4 linked regions of the Saccharomyces cerevisiae S288C genome follow. The gene in region 4 interacts genetically with the main gene of each other region. Each region holds a gene or a part of one and is shown on either strand. Other genes may lie near its edges. The genes, in order: HTD2, MAD2, RTF1 and TUB4.

Evidence for each region.
Region 1: mutations in TUB4 (region 4) and HTD2 impair growth when combined (synthetic growth defect), as found in Saccharomyces cerevisiae (2 studies listed by BioGRID, with this or other methods).
Region 2: mutations in TUB4 (region 4) and MAD2 are lethal when combined (synthetic lethality), as found in Saccharomyces cerevisiae (5 studies listed by BioGRID, with this or other methods).
Region 3: mutations in TUB4 (region 4) and RTF1 impair growth when combined (synthetic growth defect), as found in Saccharomyces cerevisiae (2 studies listed by BioGRID, with this or other methods).

What each region holds. Positions count from the first base shown.
Region 1 is NC_001140.6:227,815-234,943, reverse strand, and holds HTD2 (hydroxyacyl-thioester dehydratase HTD2), read right to left. Parts: upstream 3,975-7,129; coding exon 3,132-3,974; downstream 1-3,131. Other genes in the region: TRM5 (tRNA (guanine) methyltransferase), read right to left, coding at 1-63; exosome non-catalytic core subunit RRP4, read left to right, coding at 286-1,365; DYS1 (deoxyhypusine synthase), read right to left, coding at 1,648-2,811; SSF1 (rRNA-binding ribosome biosynthesis protein), read right to left, coding at 4,248-5,609; RNA-dependent ATPase RRP3, read left to right, coding at 5,907-7,129. UniProt on the Saccharomyces cerevisiae protein: Mitochondrial 3-hydroxyacyl-thioester dehydratase involved in fatty acid biosynthesis. Required for respiratory growth and for normal mitochondrial morphology.
Region 2 is NC_001142.9:384,492-391,744, forward strand, and holds MAD2 (spindle checkpoint protein MAD2), read left to right. Parts: upstream 1-3,165; coding exon 3,166-3,756; downstream 3,757-7,253. Other genes in the region: RNA-dependent ATPase HCA4, read left to right, coding at 1-1,658; Rab geranylgeranyltransferase BET4, read right to left, coding at 1,877-2,857, 2,945-2,947; VPS53 (Vps53p), read right to left, coding at 3,894-6,362; YJL028W (uncharacterized protein), read left to right, coding at 6,820-7,155. UniProt on the Saccharomyces cerevisiae protein: Central component of the spindle assembly checkpoint which is a feedback control that prevents cells with incompletely assembled spindles from leaving mitosis. Thought to be recruited to unattached kinetochores by MAD1.
Region 3 is NC_001139.9:39,661-46,958, reverse strand, and holds RTF1 (RNA polymerase-associated protein), read right to left. Parts: upstream 5,462-7,298; coding exon 3,785-5,461; downstream 1-3,784. Other genes in the region: karyopherin KAP114, read right to left, coding at 1-1,514; ankyrin repeat-containing protein ANK1, read left to right, coding at 1,762-2,307; TAD1 (tRNA-specific adenosine deaminase), read right to left, coding at 2,450-3,652; glutamate--tRNA ligase GUS1, read right to left, coding at 5,810-7,298.
Region 4 is NC_001144.5:564,360-568,079, forward strand, and holds TUB4 (gamma-tubulin), read right to left. Parts: upstream 1,923-3,720; coding exon 501-1,922; downstream 1-500. Other genes in the region: ATG38 (Atg38p), read right to left, coding at 1-95, 155-172; CRR1 (putative glycosylase), read right to left, coding at 2,295-3,563. UniProt on the Saccharomyces cerevisiae protein: Tubulin is the major constituent of microtubules. The gamma chain is found at microtubule organizing centers (MTOC) such as the spindle poles or the centrosome, suggesting that it is involved in the minus-end nucleation of microtubule assembly.

The sequences.
Region 1 (7,129 bases), on a different chromosome or scaffold from region 4:
TGACATCTTGCACGAACTGATCAATCTATTAAATTTTTGGAATACTGGCAGTGCGATTTTCATGCAATGAAAAATATCCTTACCTTTACTTATGGTTTAAACTGGTTTGTTCAAATATCCTCAGTGAATCTTTTTTTTTCTTTTTCTTCCTCAGTATGGATTGAGCGATGAGGTGAAAAAAAAAAAAAAATTAAGAAAACTAAAACAAAAGTAGAAGAAAAATATCCTTCCTTAAGTACTGCTTGCATTCTAAATCTTTGCGTAGTCACACAAGCGTAAACAGATATGTCCGAAGTTATCACAATTACCAAGCGGAACGGTGCCTTCCAAAATTCATCTAACCTGTCCTATAACAACACAGGGATATCAGATGATGAAAATGATGAAGAAGATATCTACATGCACGATGTTAACTCAGCTTCTAAAAGTGAGTCTGATTCTCAAATTGTGACGCCAGGTGAGCTGGTCACTGATGACCCTATCTGGATGAGAGGTCACGGTACGTATTTTCTTGATAATATGACGTATTCCTCTGTTGCTGGTACTGTATCCCGTGTCAATAGGCTGCTATCGGTAATTCCATTGAAAGGTCGTTATGCCCCAGAAACTGGTGATCACGTCGTAGGGAGAATTGCTGAAGTGGGTAACAAGAGATGGAAAGTAGACATTGGCGGTAAGCAACATGCAGTACTTATGTTGGGCTCTGTGAATTTACCGGGTGGTATTCTAAGAAGAAAATCTGAAAGTGATGAACTACAAATGAGAAGCTTCCTTAAGGAAGGTGACCTCCTGAATGCAGAAGTTCAATCATTATTTCAAGATGGTAGTGCCTCTTTACATACAAGGTCTCTAAAGTACGGGAAGTTAAGAAACGGGATGTTTTGCCAAGTCCCGAGTTCATTAATAGTGAGAGCCAAGAACCATACTCATAATTTGCCCGGCAACATAACCGTAGTTCTCGGAGTCAATGGTTACATATGGTTAAGGAAAACATCTCAGATGGACTTAGCGAGGGATACGCCGTCTGCAAATAACAGTTCCTCAATTAAATCAACTGGACCCACTGGTGCGGTATCATTAAATCCCTCCATAACAAGACTGGAAGAAGAGTCTTCATGGCAAATATATTCGGATGAAAACGATCCTTCCATATCGAACAACATACGACAAGCAATTTGCCGGTATGCGAACGTGATCAAAGCGTTAGCGTTCTGTGAAATAGGCATTACTCAACAACGTATAGTAAGTGCTTACGAAGCTAGTATGGTTTATTCAAACGTAGGTGAACTGATTGAGAAAAATGTAATGGAATCCATAGGCAGTGACATTCTTACCGCCGAAAAAATGAGAGGTAACGGCAACTAATAGGAATACAAAAGCCGCTGTTTACACATTTATAAACTACACAGCAGACTCCAACGCAATTTATGTGTATAAACTTACATAATGTCATGGCTATGTACACACGATTAGTACGTATAGAAATGCAATTGACTCATCTTTATTGCAGACATTACATCATATTTTGTTGATATTATAGTAATATGTTCATTTTTTTATTTATCTCTATATTAAAACAAAACTTTTGCACTAAAAAAAGAAATAGTACAGATTCATTTTTTTTTTTTTCATCTCAAAATTCTCTCATCAATTCTTAACTTTTTTGATTGGTTTACCACTGGCAAAGGTAGCAGCAACAATCAATGGAAGAACAGTGGTGACATCAGCAAAAAGTTTGACGGATTTGGCTTCAGCCTTGATCTTACCCCAAGACACAGCTTCGTCAGGTCTTGCACCTGCATCAGAACCATCGTATTCTTGACCAGTGTTAATGTAAACGGCATAATCAGCACCATTTCTCATCAAACAAGCATTGGCAATGTGGTGCTTGATCAAACCACCACCCAAGATGATCATACCGGCTCTGTAAGCGGCCATGGACATTGAATTGATTTTGCGGATATCTCCTACAATGTCAACTCTTAGTTGTTTTGGAGATGCTTTAAAAGTATGGAAAAACAACATGTCACCGATTGAACCATCAGTCAAAGATGGACAAAAGATTGGAATTTTATTCTTGTGGGCCCAGTACAATACGGAGGATTCGTCGTTGATTTCCTTACCAAAACGATCTATCATCTTAGATGGGGTCCAGATTGGTGAATCCACGTCTTGGTTAGCCTCTAAACAGTCAGCGCCATGTTTCTTTACGTATTCATCTTGTTCTTCCAACATCTTATCCAAAATTGGGACAATCCATTCTTCAAACTTACAGTAGTTATCATTTGGAACAAGCAAGTTACCAATACGATTCATACCTTGGTCACGCAAAGATTTACCTTTCAAAGCAAATTCACCCAAGTAAGTTGGAGCAAGACATTTGATCAAATCTTCTTCCACACCACCAGCAGAAGTAACGACAGCATCAACCATTTTGTGTTGCACCAAATAACGTAAAGTTTCACGTACACCGGAACTGATCAAGTTAGAAGTATAACCCATGAAGATAGTAGTCTTTTGGTACCCTTCCTCATCGAAGCAACCTTTCTTTTCATGGTCATCCAATTCGTCAATATGCTTACCTCTCCATGATCTCATACTATCAATAATCTCACAGGCAGTACCAACAGAACTAGCTTGGAAACCCATGGTCTTCATAGCTTCAATTAAATCAGTTGCTCTCATATTAGTGGCTTCAGGCTTTGAGTAATCAATACCTTGAACCTTAACGAAGTCATCTGGAATAGGAACAGATGCTTTCAAGACAGCGTCTTGTAGTAACTCTGGGAGTTTTTCGTTGATATCGGACATCTTTTTTGCTTTGACTTGTATATAAGTTAACTAAGCAAAACACGACTTTACTCTGCAGTTAGATACAAAACTGATAGAGGGAAGTACTTTGCGTCAAAATGGAAATATACATTACATTTAATTTTTCACTTTACTTTTTATTTTTTTTTCCCACCTTTTTTTCAGTTCTTCCCGTAATGCGTTTACCGTCAACCTGGTGATGGCGAGATATTATGGTAATCTCGTTCGTGACCTTCCACTGTTCAGCAGCTACTAGTATTATTTCAAGAGACAAGAAACACACAGGTAGTGATTATCTGCAGAGAGACAATTACTGGTAGTCAACAGAAAACATCAGCTTTCATGTAGACTAAGTTGGCTTTCTGGAGGTCCCTAATTTGAAATGTGTACATTCCGCTCGAAGAGCTTAAAGACTGACATATGCTCAAAGTAGTGTTTGGATATATATAATTCAAATTGCGGTATCGCAACTGTCTGATTGGTTGTTCGAGAAAAGGTTGGATGCATTTCTGTAGTAATTGGACCGAGAAGGGTCCTTGCATGATAATATCGTCGTAGCCTTCAACATAGCGACTGTACTCTTTGTCCCAATGAATTCGGTGCGGATTCAAAGACATCTGACCATAAGCTACAATATCCATATCAGTAACAGTAAAATTTTTTAAGATCTTATAGTTCTCCTCTCCTACGGGCATCTTGACTGCAGTCTTGTTTGCGGGTGAATTGGTGTACATTAATACCCTTCTCTCGAATAAGCAAATGTCCATTGGACTCGACACATTTTCGGGCCTTTCTTGTAAAAGGGTTCTTTCAATACAGACAACATGTTCATCTCGTATTTTTTTTACGTATTTGATTGATTCGTGGCATGTATACTCCTGGTCTAAGGTGACTGGTAAATACTGAACAAGCTCTCCTTGTCCCCAAATCCTTCTACGGTAGCGTAAATCAGGGTTTCCTAGCAAACTTGCAGGATTTTGATAGTTAAAATAACCATCTCTATCCAATTTTTCGAATGATGGTGGGAAGAACAGGAAATGTTCTCCCAGTTGAAGATGCTTCGTTGCCTTTGATACAGGGAGTCTCCTACAAAGTAAACTATCAAACGCTTTGGTTCGGTGACTAGATAAGACATCCCTGAAAATCCACGTTTTGGATTTCATGCTGATAAGCTGTCTTTAGATAAGTGGACGATTGCCCACCTTCAATGTACCAGCCACGCTCATGTATCGAAACAGTAGCTTAAAATGGCGTAAAAAAGGTAAGATCGAATTTTTTTTCACATGCCTTCTGAGATCTACGTTTCCTTTGGGCTATGATTTAAAAGACAAAGAGTTTATATGTATCAAGTATGCAATTTATCTAAAGTGAAGAAGTATACGTGCGTTGGTGGATAGCCAGGCTTAACTAAAATTTTCTTGGTACCGGAGAACAATTTATTCGACCTCACTAAATAAGTCACTATCTAGATCCTCTGGTACGCTACCATAATGTTCGCTGTCACTTGATGAAGACTCATCATCGCTCATCGCATCATCTTTTCCTTGACCTTCACCTCCTTCTGCTGCTCTAGCTTTTCTTCTTTCCAATTTACGTTGCTTTTTAGCGTCTTTAACAGCCTTCTTTTTAGCAATGTTTTCTTCTTGTTCCTTCTTTCTTTGTTCCTTCAGCCTCATTTTTGCAGCGTGTCTCTTTTCTAAAGCTTTGATTTCTTCGCTTGATTTTTGAACAAATTCATGATGTAACACTTTACCTGAACAAATACCTTCTTCTATCTTGACCAGTTTTAAAGTTAATCTTGGTCCTAATTCAGTTAGTTTGATAGCTTTCTTACGTGGGGTTGGTTGCAAGTTTTCTGAAGGCTTAGGTTCCTCCATTTCCACATCTTCTTCTTCTGTTTCTTTTTCACGCTCTTTATTATCCTTCTTTTCGACCGGTGTTCTTTGGGACTTCAAACTTTGAGAATGCTTTGCCTTCACGTCCTGATTATCAACTACTCTCACGATAGCGTCATCTTCAATTTCAGATTCTGATGTATAGGCGCCTAAGTCGTGATCTAATATCAAAGAAGAAATATCTTCTTTTCGATGCAAATTCGGCACTGTTTTACTTAGATTATTTTTGGCTTTATAAAGCCTTTTTAGGTTTCTAGAGATCTCTACTTCTCGAATGTCAATAAAATAGTGGCGCATAGAAATTTCCCCTGTTTCCCTGTCTTTATTGATCATAAATACACGTTTGATAGAATTCAAAGAAGTTCTCGCAGGATTCAGAGGTGGGAAAATATTCTGAAACATAGAAACAATGACCTTCTCCACGTTTACATCCTGGTCGTCTTCACCAGATCTTTTGGATGTGGAAAACCCGTTTAGCACTAGCAATGGAGGATTTAATACATCATCATTATTCAACGATTTAGGTCTCTTCAAAAATTTTTTGATATCTCTACCCAGAGAATAGTCCAATACTTGAAAAGTAACAGTAGGACCTTGCGGAGTTCTAGCTATCTTTAGGGAGACATTTCCTGTTTTTTCAGATTGAGTGAACATAAAAAGATGCGTAACACCTAATGGGCCACACATAACAACGAAATCCTTCAGTTTATTGGACTTGCGCTCTTTCAATTTTATAGCCGTATGTGGTTGCATGATTTGGCGGAAGTCCTTTACTAATTGGTTCAGAGAATGGTTGGCCAAAGAAGTTTGACCCACTCTGATTACCATTGACTTAGGTATACCTTGTTCCTGCTCAGGTGTAAGCTGTGCATGTGTTCTTTTCTTTTGTCTTCTCTTGGCCATCTTGAAATTTTATTGTCTGCTATATCTGGATTATACTCTTTTATTATTAAACATACTACTCACTCAAACCCAGATATCGAACTAATATCGCGATGAGATGAGCTTCTTCGTCTACTTTTTTTTTTTTTTTTTTTTCAGTGAAAAATTTCAATTTCGTCTAAGGCGATAAAAATGAAAAATTTAAAATTAATCAATGAGCATTTAGCAATTGTACATGGTATACACAGAATTGTGACATATCTTAGAAGCAATATATACCAAGATTCTGTTAAGTACTTCACTGAATCAGCTATAAAAATGTCCAAAATTGTTAAGAGAAAGGAAAAGAAGGCTAACGATGAATTAACTTCTTTAGCAGAAAAGATTAGAGCAAAAGCTTTGGAAAATCAAAAGAAGCTTATAGAAGCAGAAAAGGAAGGTGGTTCAGAGTCCGATTCTGAAGAAGATGCTACTGCTGAAAAGAAAAAGGTTTTGAAATCAAAAAGCAAATCCACAGTATCAACCCAAAATGAAAATACTAATGAAGATGAATCTTTTGAATCCTTTAGCGAACTGAATCTGGTCCCCGAATTAATTCAAGCTTGTAAGAACTTAAATTATTCCAAACCCACTCCCATTCAATCTAAGGCAATTCCTCCCGCGTTAGAAGGTCACGATATAATTGGACTTGCGCAAACAGGTTCTGGTAAAACTGCTGCATTTGCTATTCCCATTTTGAATCGGTTATGGCATGATCAGGAACCATACTATGCGTGCATTCTAGCTCCAACAAGAGAATTAGCACAACAGATCAAAGAAACATTTGACTCATTAGGATCCTTAATGGGCGTGAGATCGACATGTATTGTGGGTGGTATGAATATGATGGACCAGGCCAGAGACCTGATGAGAAAGCCACATATTATCATTGCTACACCTGGTAGATTAATGGACCATTTAGAGAATACCAAAGGGTTTTCACTGAGGAAACTGAAATTCTTGGTTATGGATGAAGCTGATAGATTATTAGACATGGAATTTGGACCTGTTCTTGATAGAATTTTAAAGATCATCCCAACCCAAGAAAGAACCACTTATCTTTTTTCCGCTACTATGACTTCCAAAATTGATAAATTACAAAGAGCAAGTTTGACAAATCCTGTGAAATGTGCCGTGTCAAACAAATACCAAACCGTAGATACATTAGTGCAAACACTGATGGTCGTTCCAGGTGGTCTTAAGAACACATACCTAATTTATTTATTAAATGAATTTATTGGAAAGACGATGATCATTTTTACAAGAACCAAGGCCAACGCGGAAAGGTTGTCAGGATTATGTAATTTGCTCGAGTTTAGTGCCACTGCGCTACATGGTGATTTGAATCAAAACCAGAGAATGGGATCTTTGGATCTTTTCAAGGCAGGTAAGAGGTCTATTCTCGTGGCTACAGATGTCGCTGCGAGAGGGTTGGATATTCCATCAGTGGACATAGTTGTAAACTACGATATTCCTGTGGATTCCAAGTCCTACATTCATCG
Region 2 (7,253 bases), on a different chromosome or scaffold from region 4:
GACAAACACTTTTATTTTCAGCGACTCAATCACAATCTGTTGCAGACTTGGCTAGGCTTTCCTTGACAGATTATAAAACCGTTGGTACACATGATGTGATGGATGGGTCGGTTAACAAAGAAGCATCTACTCCAGAAACTTTGCAACAATTCTACATTGAAGTTCCTTTGGCAGATAAATTGGATATCCTTTTCAGTTTTATAAAATCACATTTAAAATGCAAAATGATCGTTTTCTTATCAAGTTCCAAACAAGTGCATTTTGTCTATGAGACATTTAGGAAGATGCAGCCTGGTATTTCTTTAATGCATTTACACGGTAGACAGAAACAACGTGCTAGGACAGAAACTTTGGACAAATTCAATCGTGCTCAACAGGTGTGTCTTTTTGCTACCGATGTCGTTGCTAGAGGTATTGACTTTCCTGCAGTCGATTGGGTTGTTCAAGTGGATTGTCCAGAGGACGTTGATACATATATCCACAGAGTCGGTAGATGTGCTCGTTACGGTAAAAAGGGTAAATCTTTAATCATGTTGACTCCACAAGAGCAGGAAGCGTTCCTAAAAAGACTTAACGCTAGAAAGATCGAACCAGGCAAACTTAATATAAAACAGTCAAAAAAGAAATCCATTAAACCACAATTGCAGTCATTATTATTCAAGGATCCAGAACTAAAATATCTAGGACAAAAGGCTTTTATATCGTACGTGAGATCTATATATGTGCAAAAGGACAAACAAGTTTTCAAATTCGATGAGTTACCAACAGAAGAATTCGCTTATTCTCTTGGTTTACCAGGGGCCCCAAAAATCAAAATGAAGGGTATGAAGACCATTGAGCAGGCCAAAGAAAGAAAGAATGCTCCAAGACAGCTAGCTTTCTTATCAAAAGCAAATGAAGATGGTGAAGTAATTGAAGATAAGTCGAAACAACCAAGAACAAAATATGATAAAATGTTTGAACGTAAAAATCAAACCATCTTAAGTGAACACTATTTGAATATAACGAAGGCTCAAGCACAAGAAGACGAGGATGACGATTTCATTTCTGTCAAGCGTAAAGATCATGAAATAAATGAAGCTGAGTTACCAGCTCTAACTCTTCCAACTTCAAGGCGAGCACAGAAGAAAGCGCTTTCAAAGAAGGCATCTCTGGCCTCCAAGGGTAACGCTAGCAAATTAATATTTGATGATGAAGGCGAAGCCCATCCAGTTTATGAACTTGAAGATGAAGAAGAATTTCATAAGAGAGGTGATGCGGAGGTACAAAAGACAGAATTTTTAACTAAAGAATCTGCAGTAATGGCAGACATTGACAATATTGATAAGCAGGTGGCTAAAGAAAAAAAACAAGAGAAGAAGAGAAAAAGACTAGAAGCCATGAGAAGGGAAATGGAGGCTGCTATGGAAGAAGAAATTTCTGGAGATGAAGAAGAAGGGAAGACAGTAGCATATTTAGGAACAGGAAACTTGAGCGATGATATGAGCGACGGTGATATGCCTGACTCGGAAGGCCACTTGAAAAAGAAAGCTAGAACTGTTGACTATTCCCACGGCCACAATCCATCCAATTCAGTTGATGATGACATTATTGAAGTGGAAGAACCACAAACTTTGGAGGATTTGGAATCTTTGACAGCTAAATTAATCCAGGGTTAAACCCTCCTGCATAGTCTAACCTATAGTATTTAGAACTTGTATACATCTATTCTCTACACTAATATACTTATTTCTTTGTTCAAATCATCGGTAATATTACAATAAAAGAAAAATATGCATATACTTTCGTGCATTGAAGGTGTCAAATGAAATCCCGCTTATAGTGAACAGGCTTCCATCATATATACATATATATATATGTTTATATATGTATATCATCACTTATGCTGCTCCAGGAGATGTAGGTATCTATTCTTTCTTAACGGATCCGCATCTATTAATTGGACCAAATATTGTTCCGAGCTTCTTTCCGTTAGAGCTTCCTTTTCTTCCAGAATATCTTCGAGAACTAATAAAATTTTCAAGCACCAAATATTTTGCTTCCCGGAAAATTCAATTTCGTCATTATTTATTAACAGAATGTTTTCTCTCAAGTCTTTCAACATTTTAAGGTACTCTTGTTCGTCCAGAGTTTTACAAACAATGTCGTTTTTAATGAACCACTTGATATAAAACCATACGGATTGGTCTTCGGCGTCGGTAAACATAGCGTTGATGATATAAGATATTTCAGTCCGAATATACTCCTTTTGATTCCCAACCTCTCCTTTCTGAAACATTCTGCTTATGATCTGTACTCTTTGGTGCCATGCAGAATAATTTGAAATGTTATTGTTAATCTTTATTGTTGTGTATTCAAACTCCTCCTTGTCAAGACTTTTATTAGTGATACTCTCTATGTTACCAACAACTATTCTGCGGTAATGCCATCCGTGGTAATTTCTTGCATCTTGTTCCAATAACTTATTCACGACAGCAAGTTCAGTTTGCCACACTTTAGGGGAACTCGTAGGATAATGTTTCAAGACCCAAAGTCTGTGATTCCATATCCAATAGACTTTGGGGTAATCCTTCAATAGCATCATTACAAAAACTAACTCTTTATCCCAGAAAGGTATTTCCAACTCAGAAGCCAAACTCGCTATAATATCCCTTCTGTAATTCCAAATAGCATTAAATTCCGGATTTTTCTCAAGAAGTTCTGATGTTTTCTTCAGAGCTTCAATTGAGTAAATTTTTTCATCTCTCATATTCAAAACATTTTCAGTCAAGCTTCTATAATCATATATTTTCTTTTCGTCTTGAACTCTCTTTTGTCTCAGTAATTCCTTGGTCCACTGTTTCCTTTTAATGCCATGCTGTTTAATGTGGCAAATATAAAAAATTGCTTGGTAGTCAGTAAAAAAAAGAATTCATAATGTAACGAACATTTGAAGTGCACATACCATTGCTGACCTACTGCTTTATAGTATAAATTCAGTATACTAGGTATATGTGGCTCAAAAATGTGGTTTTTTTCTTTTTTGCCTTTAATTTTTTTCAAATGTTTACGTATGGTTTATGATTTAACATTTCAAGAATAGAAATCGCCCCGAAGAATGATTGATGTTAAATACTCGTACAAGAGTATTGAAAACCACTTCAAAGGGGCCCAATAGCACATTTAATGTCACAATCAATATCACTAAAGGGTTCAACAAGGACAGTTACAGAATTTTTCGAGTACAGCATTAATTCCATTTTGTACCAAAGAGGCGTATACCCAGCAGAAGATTTCGTAACGGTGAAAAAGTACGATCTTACGTTACTAAAGACACATGATGATGAACTGAAAGATTACATTCGGAAAATTCTTCTACAAGTTCACAGGTGGCTTCTTGGTGGAAAATGCAATCAATTAGTATTATGTATTGTAGACAAGGATGAGGGAGAGGTGGTGGAAAGATGGTCCTTCAATGTGCAACACATTTCTGGCAATAGCAACGGGCAGGATGATGTTGTAGATTTAAATACAACACAATCACAAATCAGAGCTTTAATCAGGCAAATCACCTCAAGCGTTACCTTTCTGCCCGAACTAACAAAAGAAGGTGGGTACACATTCACAGTACTTGCATATACAGACGCGGATGCTAAAGTTCCGTTAGAATGGGCCGACTCCAATAGTAAAGAGATACCTGATGGTGAAGTAGTTCAATTCAAAACATTCTCTACCAACGATCATAAAGTTGGTGCGCAGGTCAGCTATAAATATTAATAGAATTCAAGTCAAAAAAAAAAAAAAAGACGGAAGTCCAAAAAAATCTCGTTTTCGATGTTTAGAAAGAATATAGATTTATGAACTATATTATACTATACTACGTACTTCCTCTGTAAACCACTTCATGCGTTTTTTCAAGTGCCTCTGTTAAAGAACCTTGAGTGAGAAACGAAGTCTTTGACACTCAAACTTTGCTTTTTTTGTTCTTCTTTTTGTTGTTGTATTTGAGGGGTGGATACTATCCTCTTCATAACAGGTGGTGATATTTTCAGATCTTGCCTCACAAATTTTGACCAATTCGGATCTTGCATCCTTGCCAAGTTGTTTTCAAATTGACCCAAAAGTACCTTGTCCCACTTGAATATGAAAAGATCGCGATTACTGTCTGGCCTGCTGCCCTCGTCAGTGTCGTCTGTTTCTAAGTTGTAGGCACTCCATAGCTTTTTCCATAATGCCAGGTCCCATGGAATGCCCTTTAAAGCGAGGACAAAAGACCATACCGCTGAATCAGGGTTATTATTGGTCAATTTGGAGTAGGTCTCGTAATAGTCATCAGCGGAATCCAGAGGAGCCATTAGAAGTTTAATAAACTTCAGCAGCTGGTCTATATTATTGTCTGCATGTCTTTTCACCCTCTTATAAGAGGTATTTTCTCGCAAGTCAGAATCGTTACTTACACTTTCTGGTAAAGTGTGAAAAATCTCCTTCAGCAATTCTAAATCAAGGAGAAGCTGCTCGCCAATGTTGACAACAGTTCTGGTTTCAAATTTCCTTTTGCTGCCCGCCAGGGAAAAGGGTGGAACGGGCTGCAGAAGGCGGATGGTATTGCTTACAAAATTTGTAGTGATGATATCAATCACCTTATCCAAGAAATTCCACTTATAAACATCTCTATTGAATTGCGACAAAATAAATGCCAAAGTCGAAGGTTGCTCTTGCTGTTGTTTAATAGAGGCATCTGTTAATGCGGGCATTTTAAGTACGGATTTGAGGGTTACCATGTACCTGCTATAATCTTCTATCGCAGCATTTGACCAATCATTGTTGATAAACTCTCTCCATACAAAATTTAGATCTAAGGGTATGACACGGTTTAATAGAAAAGAAGTTCCTTTTGCTAGTAAATCGTCGTATATATTTTTCGTTTTCGTAAAACTGTTTGCCAGCTTTTCACGATTACCGCTGAATTCAGATAATTTATCCTCCAATTGATCTATAGTCGTGGCACAATAATCTGCAGTATTGATCAATAAAACGGTATACTTGGCAGCTTCTAGCTTATCCTGGACTTCAATATTGTCGGGCAGCAGTAAAGGAAGAAGAATTTTTTGTGAGTAAGTTTGAAGCCATCTACTGAAAAAATTTGCCAATGAAGTCAATATGCTATCATTGGCATTATTATCAATGAGCTCTAAGGTCTGAGTCAGTACGGAACGATATGTCCTGAAAAGGTCTGCACTCGAGGGTAACACGAGAGATTCTGTTTCATTAGATGGGTACTTCGGCTCACTCATATAAGAAAGAAATTTCTTTTCCATCATTTGGTTTTGGTGAGACACCCATAAAGTCAAATAAGGTTCGAAGCAGGAACTTAGTTTTGGTTCCTTAATTTTTTTTGAAAATCGTACGTCGATGTATTTTTCGAAATCTAGCGTCGATTGTAATGCTGTCATGAATAGATCAATGGAAGGGTTCTTGTCTTTGAATTCCCTTTTCAGAAGTGTCTGAAGGTCCTTGTGTGTAATGTGATAAAAAGTGGTGGTCAATCTGACTGCCATTTCCCAGTCTTTTAAGAAATAGTCTGCGAACTTTGAATTGAAGTTATTAAGAATTTTTTTGAAGTAAATGTATCTTCTCGATAAATTTTCTAGGGATCCGGCTTCATCGTCGACCCTAAATATCTCTTTCATTTCGAAGAGAAGTTTGTCCAAACACCAATCTATCATCTGGGCTCTCGTACTTGTATCGCAGTCGAGTAGCTCGCAGGCACCTTCGCGCAATTCCATAGTGAGTGCTGTATCATGCTCTGAGATATTGCCGCCGGAAAAGAGCGCATTGTAGTTTTGTTTAATTTTGGACAAAGTGTCTCCTTTCAGTCTTGAAATGGAGCTCAACAAATAGTTTATCTCGTCCAATGATTTGTAAGAGATGAATGTGTTTTCAGCAAGCGAACACATTATCTTATAAGGGGACACCATTTTTTTGAATGAGCCCTGTGAGAGTAATTCATTGCATTGTATGTAACTGTCTGTCAATATCTTTAAATTTTGGAAAAGAGTCAAAGAGTGGGTGAGGTTTTTCTTGGCAATGTCCAGGTACGAGATACCTTCTGTCAGATTCGATATCGTCAACTCGGTGGAGGCTGAGACATCTTGAGTTTCTTTGAAATCTTGGAAAACTTTCCTCAGAGAAGCCTCTATTTCAGCGGAATTTTTAGGGTGTTCCTTCAATTCATTCTCTTCTTTGAGAATATCCTCTTGCAATTGCTTTTTGTAGCTTCTGGTAATACTGATCAGTTCATCTATGTTGTTCAGGGATTCTTTTGAAAAAAGTATATTGGTAATATCTTCCAGCGGGTCATAATCTACCGTACCTTCCAGCATTGTCCTTCTGAGAAAACAAAAATGGAAGATGTTGTGAAAATGCAGTAAGTGACAATAAGCTAGCGACTTTTCAATGATCGCAGATTAAGTATATATACACTTTAGGTCTCCTTCTCTTCTTTACTAGCTACGAAAAAACAAAGAAAAAAAAAACAAAATAGAGGGAAAAAAGATATACGTATAAAAATATGCTCCAGGGGAGGTTCGAACTCTCGACCTTCAGATTATGAGACTGACGCTCTTCCTACTGAGCTACTGAAGCACTATTTCTTGTTCCAACCGAGGAATAATACTAGACCTGTAGAAAAGTACCGCTTATCTAATATCCAACTTTTTCTTCTGTTCCCTTTAGTGAATTCAAGATGAAGGAACATAACAGAACGGAAAACAAAAAAAAAGGGAAGAAAAAAGATATCACCACCAATTGGCACGCTCGCAACGGTTTCGGGCCAGATTCATGGCCCTGTGGGGTAGAAGTGCCTACAGACAAAAAACCGTTACGTCCCGCCTCACCAAGCATCGACACACAAGCCCTCTCAACCTCCTTAATTTCTTTATCTTTTTTTCCCTTCACCTCTGTGCTCTTTTTTTAGCCACAGCTGTGCATTACGCTTGCTTTGCTTGTTTTGTTCTCTTTCGCCATGCCATATTACTACTTTTCTACTTACTGGCACGAGGCCGCGCAAGCCAGATCCAAGCACGCCAGAAAGTGCGGTGTACTGGTGCAACCTTTTATCGATTTCTCATCATATCGCTATCGCAACGGGCATGGGCGACGAAAAAGCCAATCTAAAGCGTTGTCTTCCTCGTTCCTCGCGCACGCGATTTTGCGTTCTGCATAGGAAGCCGAAGTCGAACAAGAAGCAGGCAAAGTTTAGAGCACTGCCCCTC
Region 3 (7,298 bases), on a different chromosome or scaffold from region 4:
AATGTTGCGGATTTAATGAGCTCTTTATCAGATTTTAGCGCCAAATTAAGACTTTTTGCCAAGAATGCAGATGTCAAGGGTTTGATATCAGGTAATGCATCTATAAATTTGTCTAGTACTCTGGGAATAGTCAAAATTGCACGCGCCAATATTAATTCTGGTATTTCTTGTGATACTAAGATATTTTCTAACGTTTTTATTAAAATTTGCAAAGATTGATCGATATTTTCACCAGTTATCTCATCATCATTAAGCAAAATACACTGTAAGAGATATAGTAAAGATTCTAAAGTTGAATAATTACACGTGCTGTGTTCTATATCGTTGGAAACAACTTTGAAAATTAGGGAAAGTTGAGGATTGGGTAATGAAGTAAAAAATTCATTGGCTTGATCTCTAACATTATATGATGCTGCTAGGCCTGTTTCCTTCGATACAAATGTATTGAAATCGCTTGTCCATATCTCTCTTGTCTCAGAACTTAGCTGACAAAGAATGGTTAAAGATGTTATAATTTTGTTCATCTCTTCAACACTAAATTGCAAAGTGCAAACACTAGTCAAAAATTCTACAATATAAATAGAACAATCATGAACTGTTTCTAAAAGGGGTTCACTTTCAGTAGTTTCGACATTTGCATTTATATGGGTAACGTTTTCCAGATCTTGGATTGCCATTATTTTGAACTGTTTTTGTAATTCACTTGAGAAATGCTTTCTAGAGAAATCATTTTTAATAAAAACCAAATTCTCGTATATAATGGATTTAAATTTCAACTGAGAAATAACATCTACGTTTCCAAAATTCAAAGTCAACAATTGTCCCAATATCTGTAAAGAAGTAGCTAAACATTGGGAGACAAAACTTTTTCGTGACGCCTCATCATACTCATTATGGGAGCTCATTTGTAGAAGACATGCTTTAAGTAGCTTCAAAGCAGCAATTTTGGCTATCAAAGTAGAAGTTTCTGTATTGAGTACTTTGAAAACGATCTCCATTGTCGCCAAGCCAATTCCGCCTTCAAAGAACATTTCTTCAGATACGACATCATCGTAAATTTCATTCAATAAAGACATCGCATTTAATGAATGCTGATGAGAGATAGCATCATAAATAACTGTTAAAAGCTGCGGCCATTGATCAGGAAAATCAACCGCAGATATCTGAACAATACAGTAAGATGCACCATTTTTTATTTTGGTATTTTCATTGTCATTTAAGCATAATTTCAGTAGCACTTCTCGGATAAAATCTTTAACATCTATTTCGACGTTCGATGTAGAACGGTATGATTCAAATCCTGGACTCCAATACATGGTGATCAATTTTCTTAACGACAATAAAGCAAACTGTCTCGATTCTAGAGAAGCTTCGTGCTGTAAGGCAACGTTTGCCAGCGCTTTAAACACTTGAGATGCATCGGAATCACACCACTGTAACAATTGCGTTTCCGCAACTTCTCTAGTGTGTTTATCAGCTGATTGAGCACCTATTATCAATTCATTAATATCCATTTTAATGTGTTGATAGTGTTACAATTACGTTCAAGATTTTCGGATCGTGTATGCAGGTCATATACATCCATATGTATCTTTTTTTTTTTTTCCTAGTATACCCAAGGTATAACGCGTTGATAGAAAGGTTGACAATAAATTCATTATATAGGGGTCCTGTGAGGTAGTTTCTGAATCCCAGTGAAAAAAGTCATAAGTGAAAGAAGTCGAAGTTTTTCACAAAATAAATTAGTTTCTTTTTTTGATCATGAATACTGAAGGTGCTTCTTTAAGTGAACAATTGCTGGATGCAGCTAGAAGAAACAATCTGGATCTTTTGGAGACCGTATTTGATAGCTTAGATAATGATCCTGAGAAGATTGCAAAGCTAATTAACGAATCCAAAGAACCACTGGGGAATACAGCGTTACATTTATGTTGTAAGTATGGATCCTGGGAAGTTCTCGACAAGATTCTCGATCAAGACGGTGAAATCGAAATAGACCCACAAAACGACGTTGATGGCGACACTCCGTTACATGTTACTGTCAGATACAGTCAAGAGGAGCCTGAGCATGGAACTTTTATTGCTAGAAACTTAATTGAAGTGGGTGCGGATCCTAGGGTGAGAAACTATAACAATCAAAAGCCAGTTGATTTGGTTCATGGTGATGAACTGGATGAATTAATTGACCTTTTGCAGGGTGCCGAGTTAGCGATTGATAGTACCAATGGATCAGGTGATAACAATGAGGATGGGGAAATGATAGATGATGGTCCATCTGACGATGACGAAGAAGATGATAAAAAATGATAAAATATGTGATGATAATACCACAGAGAGGGAAAGATAGATGAACTCTGGATATATAGATATTTCTACTGTGTATATATTTCTTTAAGGTGCACTAACAAAAAAGTGTGCATATACGCATATTCAACAATATATATATATATTACTTCACATCATCCGTTCTGGTGGGTATCCAACCATCGGGAGATAAAATGTTCTTTATTGCGATAATTAACTGGCTTCTCTTTTTTTGACGAGATTTAAATTCCAAATAGCTTATTCCTTCATACTCTGGTCTTATTTTTTTGAATAGTTCCCATTGTGCAAACCGGCTTACTTGCGATTGACAGTGTTTCCTCAGTGGTTTCGATGATTTGGTATAAAATCCATTCCTCACGCCATTAAGAATCGCTTCTTCGGTGCTAAAGTCATCCATAAAGAGCTTGACACTACACATTAGACCAGGAACATCCTCCTCATCCAATTTATCATCATAAAATGGTTTGAGGCAATTCAGGAATTTAATTTCATTATCTAGATTCGGTAGACGAGTGTGAAATGATTGCTCTAGATGATGTTTCGTTTCATCTTCTAAATTAGGAATCACAATGTACTTTAAAAATACAGGTTTTTCAAAGAGTTCATAATTTAAACAATTCAGTACCGACGACCGTTGTTTCATTAATAATTTATCAGAACAGGATTTAGATAAAGTGATATTGGAATCATATCTTCCTGGTTTAGTCCTAACGACATTTCTTCTATTGAAATTCAAGCGTCCCCTCAATATTGTTTTCACACTACGGTCGACGTATTGAAATTCGTCGCTATCTTCTATTTTGATGAAATCATCATTTTTGCAATTATCATTCAGGAAACTCATGCTGGCATCACCACAGGGCAATCTCGAGATGTACAATGCCAACTCCCAGTTTTCCTTTAAATTGAATCTGGCAGGTATCTCGTCATTATGTTGAATGAATTTATCACCACTTGATGGATTATAGTTTTGAATACGGTTTAATAAAACTGTATTAGCACCTCGTAATGCCAGTATTTCTGCATGACAGTCATGCAGAATCTTCCCCTCACTTCTTTGTAGTTCTGAATCTGGCAAAGCCTTCACACCAGTAGCTATGGAAAGTATCTCTATCTTATTCGCACCGCCATCTCTGTTAATAGCTGCAACACCTGCCAATATTGTCCACTCTCTGATACCTGAAGGCCTAATTATTGGTCTGCAGGCAGATTTTAGTTTTGAATACTCATTAATCACCCTCGTTGATATCTCTTCACCCAATTTATCCTCACTTGGCATAGTGAGAAGGTTTACTATGCATGGCCTTGTTCCTTGGCACGAAACCATTCACATCACTATTATTTTCTGTTCATTTTTTTTTTTTTTTGCATCACAACGATGATAGTATTATTTTTATTTAGTATATTTAAATATATAAATATAAATATATTTTTACAAACACTGAAATTGTCCTGCCTACTAAAACTTAAGGTCAAATTTGATATCCAATTCACCAACCATGCGCTCCAACCCACCAAGGCGCCTGAATTGTGCCACAAGTAGCTCTTTCTCACGCTTATCTTTAGCATCTTTATCTTCTTGTAGCTTCTCTTGTTGTGCAATTTCTTTAGCTTTTGCGTTTTCTTCCTTTTGTATCTCCTGATAGTAAACTTTGGTCCTGGTTTTTAGCCTGCTGAAAGGATCGCTCTTTGAATCAAAGTTATTACTGTCTTCTTTTTTCACATGCTCTGCATTTCTGATGTTACTCATATTCAATTTTCTATTCTTAGAGGTCAACTCGCCTAGTTTTTTAATGTCAGATTGGTCATTTTCATGATGCTTCTCGTATACAGACATTCGTTTCTCAAAGTTTCTTAACTGAGCAGAGTATTTTGCAATGTCCTTTTCATTATTAGTCTCCTTGGCATATTGCAATTTTTCTCTCAATACAGTTTTCTCCAAGACTGCATTCGTACCAGATAGTTTTTTATTGAATTGCATCCTATGGCGAACAACCTCATCTGTAGTTTTATCAGTCAATGGTGTATTGACAAAATCCATAACCTCTTTCGTTTTGTTACTCAAAGAATGTAAAGAAGGTTTAATCATTTGCGAATTATCCAATGCCCTGAGATACCTTTGGTATTCGTCTTCGGCAAACAAACCATCACTAAAATAATTCATTTGAAAAACCTTTCTGTCTTTACCTTGGGTAACACCGAAATACTGGTTAGTATAGAACTTACCCATATTGTAAGGTTTTTGCAAGAAAACTCTCTCAATTCTCACCATACGGTAAGAAGTTTTGCCGGTACGTTTATCTGTGCCAACATTGACTCTCCCATAACAACCTTTGACTGCATCTTCAAACCCGGGATAAAAACAAAATTTTGCGACAAATGAACGACCGATCCTTAGTTTGTTGAAATCAGAAATCTCAGGCTCTCTGTCTTGCTCGTCCTCCTCTTCAGCCCACTCCACTTCTTCTCTTTTGTCGTATGTATCCCTTCTATCAAAAGGATTGTATTCTTCATCATCCCCGTATTCACTCCCTTCATCGTCCTTGTAGTCTTCTTCCCTGTAATCTTCCTCATCGTCTTCGTCTTCATTATCGCTGTAGTGACGGTTTTTCCTCGCTCTTTGTTTCTTTAATTGCGAAAGTTTTGAAGCCTTGATATCAGAATGCCCAGTAGCATGGGTTGATCTAGTGGAAGCTCTGGTCTTTCTGGAATCTTCGTCGTTCTTGGCTCTCTGTTGTTGTTCCTTCATATCTCTTCCACGTGCTCTAAAAAGTTTCCTCTCCTGGTACTTCTGCATGATTTGAGATCTTTCAAATAATAGAGTCTCACGTTCCATTTCAGGTAAGGATTCCAGGTGCTCTCTGTCGCTCTCATCCTTGTACTTTCCTTCCAAGGGAAAAGGATTAGCTTCTTCTTCTTCTTCGGAACCGTAGTCTGCATTTCCTACAGAGTAAGGGTTATAATCGTCCTCCTCATCATCATCCTCTACACTGCCGACTTCAATTCTCCTTTTCTTGGAAAGAGATTGGTCGTTGTTTTTTGCCCTTTTGGCAGATGTAGTTGTCAAAACTTGATCTTCTTCTTCGGATTCATCGGCACCAGCCAAGGCTAATAAATCCTCATCTAAATCAGACATTTCTATAGTGCTCTCAACAAATTAGTGCAATACAATTACAAACTTTGGTATCCTTCAAGTACCTTTTGTAACTTTGAATATTTTCCTTCCAGCTCGTAGTCACTATTTGAACCAATTTCAATAAAATATAAATTGTCAAAATTACAAAACCGGGTAATGGATGATAAACTTTTACAGTCAAAGTTCTATAGGTAGACATACATGTCATAAGCTGCTATCCTTACATGATTCAAGGCAGCGAACACAGGACTGGTTCAGAAAGCAAACCATTCACTTATAAAAGATATTGTTCAAAAGGTACTGGTTGAGAAATAACATAAATATGTATATACATTACTTATGTGATGCTTATTTCTTTGCACCATACTTGTTGACAGATTTACCATCTGGGATGGTAAAAAAGACATATGGCTTACCATCCTTGGGTAAAGCATCCAATCTGTAGTAGCCCTTTCTTTCGAATTGGATGATATCACCAATCTTCATATCCTTAACATTCAAGTCAGCAATGGCATCCGTGTGGAATTCTGTTTGAGGAGTCAAGAAATCTTCGAAACTTTCGTCTTCTTCCAATCTGTCCTTGGTAATCAAATGGTCGAAGTCAACTAAATCAACAGGGACGACATCTTTAGTATCAGCTAACCAAGTCAACTTGTGCTTGGTCTTTTTGAAATCACCTTCCAAATTCAATTTGGCAACCATAGAACCATCGTCATTCTTTTTAGTAATAATGACATTACCCCAGTCCATTAAAGTGACTTCTTCATCAACATTGATGACGTCAGCATCATCTTTGTCGACAACAATGTCTTTGTAGTAAATGACTTTCTTTTCGCCCACAGCTGGGTTTTTCTTGTGTTTTGGTTTCATTTCAATCTTTGGTTCTTGTGGAGCTTCGGAGCCTTCCAAGTGGATTTTAACTGGGTTGACGATAGCAGTGTGTCTTGGAGCAATTGGATCAATGACCTTCTTGTTGAAAGCCCAGATCAAGTTCCATTCCAAGTTAATGACATTTCTGGATGGACCTTGGGATAAGACGAAGTTCCTCAAACCTTCGACAGTCATACCTCTTCTTCTCACACCCCTGACAGTTGGGAACCTTGGATCGTCCCAATTTCCGACCAAGTCCTTGTCAACCATCCATTGTAACTTTCTCTTAGACAACAAGGTTCTAACGAAATTGATACGAGCGAAATCCCAAATATGGACTTTTCTCAAACGCAAAGCTTGTAACATCCAATCATATTGAGCGTTACGGTCTCTATATTCAATGGTACGTAAAGCGTGGGTAACACCTTCAATAGCATCAACAATTGGGACACAGAAATCATAAGTTGGGTAGATCTTCCAAGTTGATCCGGTTCTGTGGTGAGGGGTTAGATTACATCTGTAAATGACAGGATCTCTTAGAGTCTTGTTCAAAGCCTTGTAATCGATCTTGGCACGAACACAGTTCTTCAAACCTTCTTCAGTACCGTTTTTCATTTCTTCGGTAAAAATTCTTAAGTTCTCTTCAACAGAACGATCTCTTCTGGCAGAAGCAACACCATCCATACGTTCTTCTCTCATCTTTTCAGTTGGAGTGTCGTCACAGTAAGCTTTACCATCCTTGATCATTTGAACACAGTAGTCGTACATTTCTTGGAAGTAGTCAGATGAGTAGGTTATTCTATCACCCTTGATTCCTAATAAATCCAAATCTTCCAAAATAGAGTCTTGGAATTCTTCCTTTTCCTTCGATGGGTTGGTGTCATCGAATCTAATAATCAACTTACCCTTGTAAGCTTGAGCAAAATATTGGTTCAACAAGGCAGCTTTGGCATGTCCAATATGTAAG
Region 4 (3,720 bases):
CCTAAAACTTCAATGGCTTCTTGATACTTCGCTTTTGCATTTGTAAAATCTCCTTTTCGACATTCCTGTTCGGCGTCCTCAATAATAGTATAAACCTAATTCATGTTAGTCACCATGAACAAAAAAAAAGTGGGGGCATAATTCAAAAACTTACTTCCGCTAAAGTACTCATTCCATCACCAAGATTAGTATAACTGTCGTTGAATTATCGAACTAATCCGTGCAGCGATACAGATGTTTTTTATTTCAAACAGAGCGTTCCATTACGCTGAGTTGAATCATCTGGTTTTTCTACCCTTTAGGAAATTCTAAAGTTGAAGAGGCGCTATCGATGTATGCAATGATGAAAAAGTGGTACAGAGCTTTATACATATTACAATACAGTGCAGAATTTATAAAGGGAGATAATACATTTGAAGCGGTTGTTGGTATAGATATATTGAGAGTACTATAATAAAACTATTGGGCGGTGGTAAAATTCCTGAACAAGGAAGGCATCATTATACTAATTTATGATCACCGTCGGCATCCAGGTCCTCTTCCAACTCGCCAACCATATTTTCATCATCAACAAGTACATCGTCCAAGTACGAATCTTGTTCTGCAGCTACATAATCCTCCATCAGGCTTTGTACTACTTCTCTTGACTCGGCGAATTCATCTTGAACGTTCTGCATTGATTGGAACAAGTCGCCTACATTATAATTATTTAAAAATGCGCCCTTGGCAAATACTTTGTCAAAAGTATTGCACGCATTCTCAAAGACGTTCACCACGGTAGACATATTGCTTAACATCATGCCGCTAACTTCGTTTTCATTTGGTTGTAAAGGCAAGTATGGCGATCTTCTTCCAATGTTAACGTGCATCGCAGAAGAGGACCATGAGGGGAATTTGATGCGTTGTTGTAATTTGGTCATAGCACGCGATATCTGACGAGGTTCTACATTACCAATGATTGTATTATAAACGTTAAAATATGTTGGATTGTTCATCGCGGTAGAGACAAGAGAATTGGAAGGGTCTAATAAATCTAACATGACGTCATAACTGGAATGGCCTTTATGCGCTATATCATCGTGAATATAATCTGATGTAAATGGAGTGAAACTAGGGCTTAGGAAATGAAGTTCAGGAGAAGGAATCAAGGTAGAGTAAATACTGGACATGGATGAATACATGTAACTCGGAAACCGTATACTGTTCGTTACTGAAGATATTATGGTCGATATCAATTGATTCGTGTGTTGTAAATCGATGTTCGGATTTCTAAACACTTTACCGGAAATATTCAGCAACGAAGCGTTATCAAACACCACCGTTGCATCGCTATCTTCTATCAGTCTTCTCAAAGCCAGAATAGTGTTATAAGATTGAACAACAACCTCAGAAGATCTTGCAGGGAACACAGAATATGTCGTGAGTATTTTTTTAGGATATCGATCACACAGCGCTTCTAAGAGGTTGGATCCGAGCCCTGAACCGGTCCCTCCGGCTACTGAGTGCAGCAACTGGAAACCTTCGAAATTGTCGGTAGAATCAATCTCCTTGTCGATCTTGTTAAGAATATCATCCTGGTTACGAGTTCCTATATCATACCCATTGGCCCAAGAATTACCAGCGCTAGCGCCATCAGAAGCTACCCAGGTATTTCTTGGGTCGAAAAACCCACGAAATGTGTTCTCCACGTCGGCGATGACACTAGGCTCGGAATCCATCATAATAGCCCTTGGCGTAAACTTATTCCTACTGTTTTCGCGGAAGAAAGGCTTTGTGTCATCATCTCTTTCCGTACTGGAATCAGGAAGCTGAGATAGCCCATCGGTGCCTATAGCGTGTTCTTTCGCCAATTGAGACCAGAGAAACTTACCAACGTGGTTCCCGCATTGACCTGCTTGCAAAGTAATAATTTCTCCACCCATAGATAGTTATATGTTGAATTCTTATACATGTGACTAACCGATATTACGCATTTGTTCATTTCGCAGCTACTGTTACGATTATTATTTATTACATTTAATGAAATTTCCCAAAAGATAATATTAACGCGTTCTGTTACCCGGTGATATTTTCTGAATGTCAGGGTAACAAAGAGAGAACGTTATAATGGGAGAATAGTAAATATTTGCTTTAGGAAATTAGTAATAATTGCAATGCGGAAAATAGGTGCATTTTGTGTTTCTTGAAAGGTTTGAACTAAAGAATGTATACATATATATTAGAGCGTGCCTTCATGCAGGGAATTAGAGGATCCGTTACGGAAGAGAGAACTTCGTAAGACATTATTGCTGTGACTATTTTGACCGTTTCCAAGAACTCAACCAGTCATTTATCTTTGGAGTAACAAAGCAGTCCCATTTGAGAGACCCCTCATCATGATGATTCAGTCTGTCTTGCCTGTTATACGAAACGACTACTCTTGACAAATCTTTTTGGGAAAAGGTTGGTGCCTTTTTCTTTGCCTTTATACAAAACTGCACTTGTTCTGTGAATTTATTTTGGTACGGCGTTACGGTGATTTGTTCAACATGCGCCGTAAATTGGCCCTTTTCGATAATATCGGGTGAATTTTCCCAATCTATGAGGCCACCTGCCCAGTTTATTGTACCGGGTCCGTTGGTTTCCGAGCCGCCTGGCCAAACAGCGATTTCTAGTCTCATCGGCGTTTGTGGGTACCTATATTCTTTACTAATGGGGTCCCAGGTATCCTTCTTCAGGACTGTGCGAGCTATTTTACCATCAACATACCATATTATCCTATCCGGGTCCCAATCAATCTCATAAGTGTGGTAAGTGGCCCAAGTGTCAGCGCCTACGGGAAATCTTTGCATTCTTGTGTAATCCAAATGCCCTTGAGAATAGTAGTTTGATTGGGCCGTCATTAAATCACCACCCAGCCACTCAAAATCAATCTCGTCCCCAATTGCGGATGTTAAGTCAAATGCAGTCACCACACCCCTCGACCTCGCCGTTTTCATTCGCACGCTTGCCTTGCCGTATAGAAACGACCTGGTCGATGTGATCAAACTTCCGGTAGTTTTTTTTGGCATAGCCAGAACAATATTCCCGCTACTCGCTTCAATTGATGTGTAGCCGCTATGTGTGAAATCGAAATCTTCCAACATTTTCTCTGCCTCTTTACTGTCTGGAGTGACCAAGAATTTGGCGTAGTGTATGATTCTCTTGGAATTTAGCTCCCCTTCTACTACACCCACCTTGGTATTTGCCTTATTCGGTCCATTTCCCTCTCTTATTGGTGGCTTAGGTTGATAGTTCACAATAAATTTAGGAACCTTTGGTGTGCTAACAAATTCAAGTTTTTGACTGGCGACTAATGCAGGTATAGGAGCACAGCTTTCCTCGTCGAAAGATGACCTCACGTTGCAGCCACCGACACATATCGGTCCAGCGCCACATTCATTATACGGCGAGCAGCACGGCCATTCTGCGGGACAAGGGTTATTTGGAGAACAAGAAATGGAGTTTTTGGGTTTGTATAATTCTCCCAGTGCAAATCCGATGTAGCCAACAACCGGCACCAGCTGTAATATTGATATTCTCATATTTTTATTTCGTGCAAAAGCCCTTGATGATACTCTAAACTAAACGACTGTTCTTGTATTTCGTTATTAATCGATAATTATTAGCTGGTATTGTCTTTTTTTTTTTTTTCCTACATGATCGTCGCGAGGCTTTACATAATTTTTGTGACGCCTTTAA